2 linked regions of the Nothobranchius furzeri genome follow. The protein of the gene in region 2 purifies or fractionates together with the protein of the main gene of each other region. This does not show direct contact. Links are inferred from orthologs where the notes say so. Each region holds a gene or a part of one and is shown on either strand. Other genes may lie near its edges. The genes, in order: zmynd19 and mkln1.

The links.
Region 1: the proteins of mkln1 (region 2) and zmynd19 purify together in Homo sapiens (affinity purification with mass spectrometry; 3 studies listed by BioGRID and IntAct, with this or other methods). This does not show direct contact. The link is inferred for Nothobranchius furzeri from reciprocal best matches to the Homo sapiens genes MKLN1 and ZMYND19.

Annotation. Positions count from the first base shown.
Region 1 is NC_091746.1:54,509,974-54,514,292, reverse strand, and holds the start of zmynd19 (zinc finger MYND domain-containing protein 19), read left to right. Parts: upstream 1-1,463; 5' UTR 1,464-1,644; coding exon 1,645-1,695; intron 1,696-2,960; coding exon 2,961-3,020; intron 3,021-3,115; coding exon 3,116-3,222; intron 3,223-3,714; coding exon 3,715-3,855; intron 3,856-4,033; coding exon 4,034-4,214; intron 4,215-4,307; coding exon 4,308-4,319. UniProt on the Homo sapiens protein: May be involved as a regulatory molecule in GPR24/MCH-R1 signaling.
Region 2 is NC_091741.1:63,274,058-63,278,334, forward strand, and holds the start of mkln1 (muskelin), read right to left. Parts: upstream 3,061-4,277; 5' UTR 2,999-3,060; coding exon 2,919-2,998; intron 1,540-2,918; coding exon 1,470-1,539; intron 1-1,469. UniProt on the Homo sapiens protein: Component of the CTLH E3 ubiquitin-protein ligase complex that selectively accepts ubiquitin from UBE2H and mediates ubiquitination and subsequent proteasomal degradation of the transcription factor HBP1.

The sequences.
Region 1 (4,319 bases), on a different chromosome or scaffold from region 2:
TAAATGAAAAATAAATGAATGAGACCTTCTCCACTGTTTCCTGGACGCTAAACCAACAACAGCATTCCCCGTCGCAAGTCAAGATGGGTGAGGTCATTAATGTCAAGAAACAGTGTGATGTAGTGCTGTCACACCTTTTAAATTCTAGTGTAGCATTTCACCGTCTATTTTTTTTTTCAAAAAGTATATTTTATTGCATTTTCAGTTAACTGTACATCTTTCACACATTATTATGTTGTATACTGAAAGTACATTCTGTATAAAATCTTAATGGAACAACAGAACAACAGAACAATTTAACAATTTTGGTTGTGCTTCTGGCGATACTCTTCACCATCTATTTTATATCATTGGGAAGGAAATAGATGTAGGACACAATTTTCACGTTTAGCCTACACGTTAAACTCAGAATGACCTATGTTTTTCAAAAACAATAAGTCAAAAATGCTTTCTCTGTGAAGGACCTCTTTAAAGGTGACTAATCAGGATAAATGATTTATACAGATTCATGTATTTCCATGTACAATGAAATTCTTCGCTGCTTGCAATGGATGCCAAAAGTATATGTCAGAAAGGGTTATAGTTTTGGCACTTCTACAAGATCCATTTGTAAAGTTACCCCACTCTTATTTTGGTGGTCCAGTTTGTGACATCACTTCCTCTAGATAGTCCCACTCTATCACAGTATAATTTAGGTTTTTAAACAAATAAGATAAAAAAGAAGCAACAAATCAATCAAAACTATTAACTCTACCAAAGTTACAGCACCATTATTCATGTGCAAGTGAAATAAGTGTCCATAGAGGGAGTGGATGGGGTCTTTGAAGATGGAGGTGACTGTCCTGTTGACTCAGTGGTTATTGGTGGTGGTGATGCTGCTCCCGTACCAAACCTTATCACACAGAGATGCAACAGATCTAATTGACTCAATGATGCAGCTGTAGAAGATGCTGAGGATTCTGAGTGACAAACTTCCTCAGCCCCCTAGGAAGTACAGTAGCTGTGTGGAGCCTTCTTTAATGACTGTGTGGTGTTCAATGCACAGGTGAGGTCCTCACTGATGTGGACCCCCAGGTATTTAAAGTCAAGAAGCATTGTTACAAAAAAACAAATAATCAGCCAAACACAACCCATTTTGCTTTTATATGACAACATTTATAACAATGTTTATTCTTTATAAGTTCATGTTTAATTTTAAATGAAAGCTTTTAGAAAACGGAGATTCCTCCCCTTCAGTGGCACAGAGCCGCCAAAGATTTCGCGCGAAAATGATTGGAAGTGATCACGAGAGAGCATTGACGTCTAAGTTAAAATAGGCAGTCTTAAACGTTTGTGTAATTCTATTGGGCGCAAGGACAGGGCATCGCAGACTAAAACGTGTTTCGATTGGTTGGTTGGAATAGTGGCTCATTCCTTCGATAACCCCGCCTCTCACCACAGCTCGCCCAGCTTTCGTGCTCCAGCGGCCGTGTGTCACCGAGGCTGGGCTGCGGCCGGAGAGACCTGGAGGTAGGGCAGTCACTACACTGAACCCAGAAGTTGCATCGCATCGGGGCAGACGGGCTGCCCTGGCGAGTTCTACACCCCGAAAACCGCCAAGGTTGGATTCTACGCCTCGTTGTGTCAACACCACCCGTCCTCCTGATGTCGGATTTCAAGCTCGGGATTGTTCGGCTCGGCCGTGTGGCCGGGAAGGTGAGCTGGATCCCAGTGCTGCCATGTGCGGCCCGTGGGGAATGCGGAAACCTCAAGTAAATACACTGTTAACGGCAATTTATCGATGCCAGTCAGCTGCCGTAATGATAATGGTGCCGTTGAGGGCGCGGGAGTGGGCTAGTTGTACCGTTTCAGAGTCGTTTGAGCGGATTAGAAAAGCCGGCCGCGTCGAGCCAGAGCCAGTCTGCTCTTCTCTACTCCACCGCTATCACTGTCTTCCTTCAAGCTAACACTAGCTAGCATGTCCGTTAGCTGGTTTACTTCCAGTAACAAAACGTCTACCTGAAACGTGAACACAAACTATTTGTGCTTTTGTTGCTGCTGACACTGTCGTGGCTCGTGGCTGGTTGGGGGTGTGGTGTGACAAGGAGAACTGACATTTTATCTTGTAGCGGATAGGTTAGCATCACCAGATTAGCCGTTAGCCATGGCATCTGGATTAGACAGGAGCTGACAACTAATGAGGGAATCGGTGCCTTGCTTCATCAACGCTAGCCCGTGGTAACATAACACCGGCATAGCAATGCTGCGCTCCACACCTCGGGGCTAAAGTATTGTGATTTATTCCGTTCAAATAACGTAATTGCCTCAGATACACGTGACTTTAAATCGGGGCAGGATGCTGGTGTTGACACCCCTGGCTGCTGCTGCTGTCACTGCTGTCACAAGACACGCAGGATAAACTGCTGTCACCAGTCTTGCATCTCATCCGGCTGAGTGACAGTTTTCCTCTGGTTGAAACGTTTTTATATTTAGTTTTAAAACAGATAATTACGCCTTGTTTCATGCCGTTATTAAACCTCTGGTAGGTTGAAACAGGATAAAACTAGTCATTATTGTGGGTAAGTGTATTATAACTTTTACACACTTGGTCAGTTCAGGATTTGACCTGCAACAAAGGGATTGCAGGTCAAATACATATGCGTCTGAGTGGTGTCATCCTCTGTTTATCTTGCAAACATCAGGTGTGTTGCAAATTTTGAACTGGCACAGATCACTTGATTTAAATCTTTTATAGAGGATGAGCTTGAACCATCAACTGGTAGTGAGTGGAAGTTCTGAAAAGCCCTTTCTAAAAATTTCAACTTGTGGTTTTACTAATAGACGAGCTTAAAAATTGGGTATTTGCTGGCGGCATATTGGATAGTGTTTTTTCATTAAAATCCATTCAAAGTATGTTATGATCACAGCTGTAGATTTTATTGTGAAACTCAAATCATGTCTTCAATTTTTCTCCATTTCAGACAAAATACACTCTGATTGATGAGCAGGACATACCACTTGTGGAAAACTATGCCTTTGAGGTAAACTATCAGAATGTTTTGTACCCCGTTTCCCATTTTTATCGCTAACCACAGCCAAGAAGTTTAAAACGGCTACATTTTCCCTCTATTTTTAGGCACGCATGGAGGTAGATGCAGATGGCAATGGTGCTAAGATCTTTGCTTATGCTTTTGACATCGGAAAAGGCCGCTGGGCAGGAAGACCTCTGCATGAGCTACTCTGGTAAGTCTTTTGTTTTCTACAAAAACAAGATGTTCTCTGTGAGCAAAAATGAATAGTTAACATTATCTTCTATATTTAAGTCTTTATTCCTTGACTTGTAGTAGGAAAAGCCTTGAACCTGAACCAGATTGATAAGAACTTCTGAAAAGAGAAACTGATTCTGTGTACGCCAGGAAAAAATACATCATAAATGCTAAAAAAGCAAACATCAACATTTAAATGGATCCTATACAATGGAAAGTTTTAGCTTGAATCTCCCATACCTAATGAGGACAAATCAACCATCTATATTTCCTTTACAAGAATCTTAAAGGTCATTGGTGTTTAGGCTATTTTGCAGCAAATATTAAAACCATCCTTGTTATCCATTAAGTGCATCTGTAGACTTCAAAAACCAGAAATTTCCCCTGGAGGGTAGGGTTAGCTGTATGTTTAAATAAATCCTCAGTAACTCTGAATGAACCAGTTCTTGATTTCTTTGCTTTTAACCAGGGAGAAGCACAGGGGAGGCATTGCCCCTAGTTTTCAAGTGATTCACATCAACTCCGTAACCGTCGACAACCGGTTAGACAACCTTCGACTGGTGCCGGTGGGCTGGAGCCCCAAGCCGGAGGAGATTTCCAGCAAGCAAAGGTGAGACCACTTATGAATTCTGCTGAAAGGCATGGGGGCAAAAATACTAAACATTCCTGAGAGGACTTCGGTAGCTGACGTTGAGTCACTACCATGACTCACATGTTGAGAACCATACTGATTCTAGCAGTATGGTGGACAATAACTGATGTCTTCTGTGTTTTTGTTTTCCTCCTAGAGAGCAGTCTCTGTACTGGCTGGCCATCCAGCAGGTCCCAGCCGACCCGGTGGAGGAGCAGTACCTAGAGCTAAGCCGCACGCGCTACTACAATGCTAACGGGGAGCTAGTGGAGGAAGAGGAGTGCTCCTGCACTTATTACGAGTGTCATTACCCCCCTTGTTCACTAATTGAGAGGAGGGTGTGTACTGAAAGTTCCGATGTTGATTAAAAAAAAACTTTACTCATTCATTTAGCAGGAACATCAAACCTTAATGATCTCGTCTTTCCACAGCTACGAGAGTTT
Region 2 (4,277 bases):
TCAGCCTTTAAATTAATTGTTTCTTATCGTGCGTCATCTCCACCGTAATCTGCACTGTAACTTGGTCTTCTCCTTTAGCTCTAAACTGTAATAGTATTTATGTGTATATTAATTTGTGTTTTTATGTTGTTTTCATAACATGTCCTGATAATTGTACAGCACATTGAATTGCCTCTGTGTTTGAAATGTGCTCTATAAATAAAGCTGCCTTGCCTTATATTCGAACATCTGATTGGCTAGCAGCAACATGACTACCACTGACTCAGTTTGCTCTGCAACTTGGATGTTTTATCTGGAGCTTAGAGTTAGTTGCTAATGCTAATGGTTAGCTTCTACTAGCAAAGATGTCCTCTGCTGTTTCCTGGACGCTAAACCAACAACAGCCCTCGTTGTTGTGAGTCAAGATGGGTGAGTAAATGAATGTTAAGTAACAGTGTGACGTAGATCTGTCAGGATTTTCTAATCAGAAGCTAACGTAGGAGATAGGTGCAGGAGACTGTTTTCATGTTCAGCCTGCATGAAAAACTCAAGAGTGACTGATAATAATCACAAATAATCATAAAAAATGTTTTCAGTGTTCCATACCTTTAAACTTGTTACCACCAAGAAAATACTCAATTTTACCAATTTCATGTGTTCGTTGCAATCAAGCAGTAATATATCTCCTTTTAGAAATCCCTAAAAATCACAGCTCTGTTTATTATCACAACTCTTAGTTGTCTCTTATTATCACAACTCTTAGACTTCTTATGCATCATTAATAATATTACTAATAATAATGTTATATTATATAATAATAATGTTATATTACAAAAAATGACATTGTGCTGTTTACAAAGAAAGAGGTTACATTTTTATGAATTTCTTCATTTCAACATAAAGTTGCAGTTTATTATTCCTGGTAGATTAAAGTATATTTTTATAACCATAACATCTACTTAGTTAATGAGGAATAAACATTATTTATTCCTCTGTAACTTTAAGTTTACTAGTTAACACAATGGTCACTTTAATGAGCATCACATCTGTTTATTGGGAGTGAGAATTTCACTAGAACTCTGTTATAAACAACTAAATATATCCCATAAAAGAAGAGAGTGATAGTCTCTGTTCACTTCCTGCTTTAATTTACATTATTTTTCAAAGCAAAAGGAACATTTTCAGCATATCTAAAAAAATAGACCACATTGTCTTTTTCATAAACACAGGTGAGAATGGTTTTGGAGACCAAACCAAACATAAAATCTAAGAATTGGCTTTGGACATTCCAGACCATTCACTGAAATTTTACAGACCAAGAAATGTAAATTAGAAACTGAGTCAAATAATTGAGAAATTTATAATACATTTTTTTTATCACGCTATAGAATTTCCTCATTTTATCCCCCTTATCTGTGGTCAAAAATGACCTATAATGACCAAACTAGTCATACAGTATTCATTCACACAGTGAAGTCAAGCAAACTGACCTGAGGAGGGTAGTTACTCTCAGAAGACCATCTGGAAGACTGATCATTAGGTTTATCCACCAAGATATTCCTAAATAAATAAAACAGAAGTGCACAATGTGAATAAACAGGTTGATTTTGCTGCTTCATTCAATAAGTCCTCATTTAAAGGCAAACATTTCAGCTTCCACATCTCAGTCTGCTGCTCGTCACTACAAATCAGAGATCTGAAATAAGTCAGGAGTCCAGAAAACAAAGCCAGATGTTTACACATTGAAAGGGAGTCAAACATAAAATACATCACTTTCAATAATTTACATGGTCTCAGAAATTTCTATTGTGCTGTAACTATCAAAAGGTTTCTTTTGGCGAGATTAAAGTGGAAACTGCAGTCATACAGCTAAAAGTGAATAAAATGATAAAGGTGGAGAAAGCTGGAGGACTGCAGGGTGTAGCGGGCTACAAGGGGGGCTTTTGAAATCATGAATGGATATTCTACACATGGCAAATTCCTGTTAGACTGCTGTTACAGCTTTATTGTGATGAACACTTTTTAAAGTATTAGCAAAATAATTAGTGTTGTTGAATTCTATTCGTTTATTAAATTATGAATCTCTGGCAAAAATTAGCTGGATGTAATGGATGTAGTCAATCTCCAGTGAAATTTCGAATATCTGCTGTTTTATTGTGGTGCAGCTTTCTGAGCAGCATCTGGGTTGAGATTTTTTAAACTTCGTTCTCATGTTTAATACATTTTGACAGGTTTTCGCACCATTTTGTTGTTTTTGGCTGACAATTTGGCTGTTTGATAAATGTTAATGATGACAAGAACATTTTAAAACGGCGAATTTGGATTCCTAATATTTTAATCAGGCATCAACCCAGGCACCTACTCACTGAGACATCTGATGATTTTATCGCCAGTTGATCTGATACACCAGCGGTGAACAGGCTCATTAGCATAGATGCTACAGTCTAGCTATCGTACTAGCATCTAGAGTTATCCATAAAACCTCCGGTTGTGTTCAAATTGAGGTTTTAATTTTATATGCTACAGCAACCGGAAAGCAGACTGTTATTTTAAACAATCAAACACAAACATGCAATGGATTAAAAACAGATAACTTTTAAATAATCTAACTTTGCCCTGCTTTGTTTACGTTACGAGTCCACCACATCACACGACTTTAGCTCATTAAAGAACAAATACAGATCCACAAGAAATAGTTAAGACGTTGTCCTGTTAGTTAAATAATCTTTCAGTAGCTACTGTATCACAGTTGCAATCGATTAGTCGCATTTCCGAACCAAATCATGTCCCTGGCGTTGCGTTAGCTGGCTCGCATCGAGGATCGGTTAGGCCAGTCTAGCCGGCTGGACAACACATCGATGTACGAAGGCGATAGAAGGTCACCTGTAGCCGCCGACGGTAATGCAAACATTAGGGGGACTAACGTGCACGGTACTCACTCGGGTAAATATGTGGAGGAGTATGAACTCCATTTAAAAACGCTGAAAGTGAGGATTCTACTCTCAGGAGCGACGGCCATCTTGTTGGAAAACAGCAGGTAGTGTGAAGCTAGCTGCAAAGCCGAGAGCTGAACTCTCTTAAAGAGACAGTACACCTGTTTCACTCTGCATGGAGTCATCATGCATCCTTCACCAGCAGCTTATAACACAGCCAAGGGGCCAGATTTTCTGTGCATACACTCTTACATCTAAATAATGCGGCTTCAGGCTAAACATTAAAGGTGCACAGTTTAGAGATTGAAGAAGGTAAGAAAAAAACATAATACATTTTCAGGATAGTCAGTAAGCCTTTTATTTGTTTGTCAATGTTTATGATTAGAACATTTCACAAATCCATGTTATTGTTATTTACCAAGCTGTAGACTGTATGGTTTCCCGTCTAAAACAACTCTTTTGTTTCTAAAAGCACTATTCAGGGGGATCTCAGTGTTTTATTACATGTTGAGTCAGTTTTACAAATGTCAGAGTGTGTGAATCATCCAGCGATTAAATGAACAAACCTTTATTCCTGTCATCCCAGATGTGATGTTGTTTAGGCATTTATTTAATGCCTCCTGCATGTAAATTGTGTTTTTTTTTTGTTATATTATCCATTCAATTCAATTTTATTTATATAGCGCCAAATCATGACAAGTCATCTCAAGGCACTTCACATAGTAAACATTCCAATCCATTCTTTCCCTTTTATTGATGCAGCTAATTTATTATAAATAGGATTTATATGGCCTGTGTCAAGTGACTTGGCAGTTTCCATCCTGCCCTGATAATCTTACTTTGTTTTGATGAAGAAAACATAACATAGTCTACAGCCATGCAAGCATGACTGATGAACTACAGAGCTGAGCTGATCACACACTGGAGCATTTTCAGCAGCTTTGCACTCGAATGCTAGGCGATGGGTAACCTGGTGATTAATTGTTAGATTTCTTTTCATTCCTTTGATCGTCCCTGATCTTTTCCTTATTTAAAAAAAAGGCTGTACAAAGTTTGATGAGAACATGCCGTTTCATTGATTCATATTGTGTCTCCCTTCCTCTCTGGTCCTTCAGTCATTGCCGTTTTCTCTCTGTGCATATCAGCCTCTATCATTTAAATCAGATGTGGAAACCAGAACAGAGAGGCTCCATCTGGATGCAGATTATCTTCCGTACAGATCTGGATTACATGTAAAATGTCATAGTCTCCATTTACCAGTCCTAAAATTTGTTTAGAGATGCTGATGCTGCACACATTGGTACTGGGATGACAATAAATGTTGCATATATTACAACATCATGCACTGCTTTCAAAGACACGTAA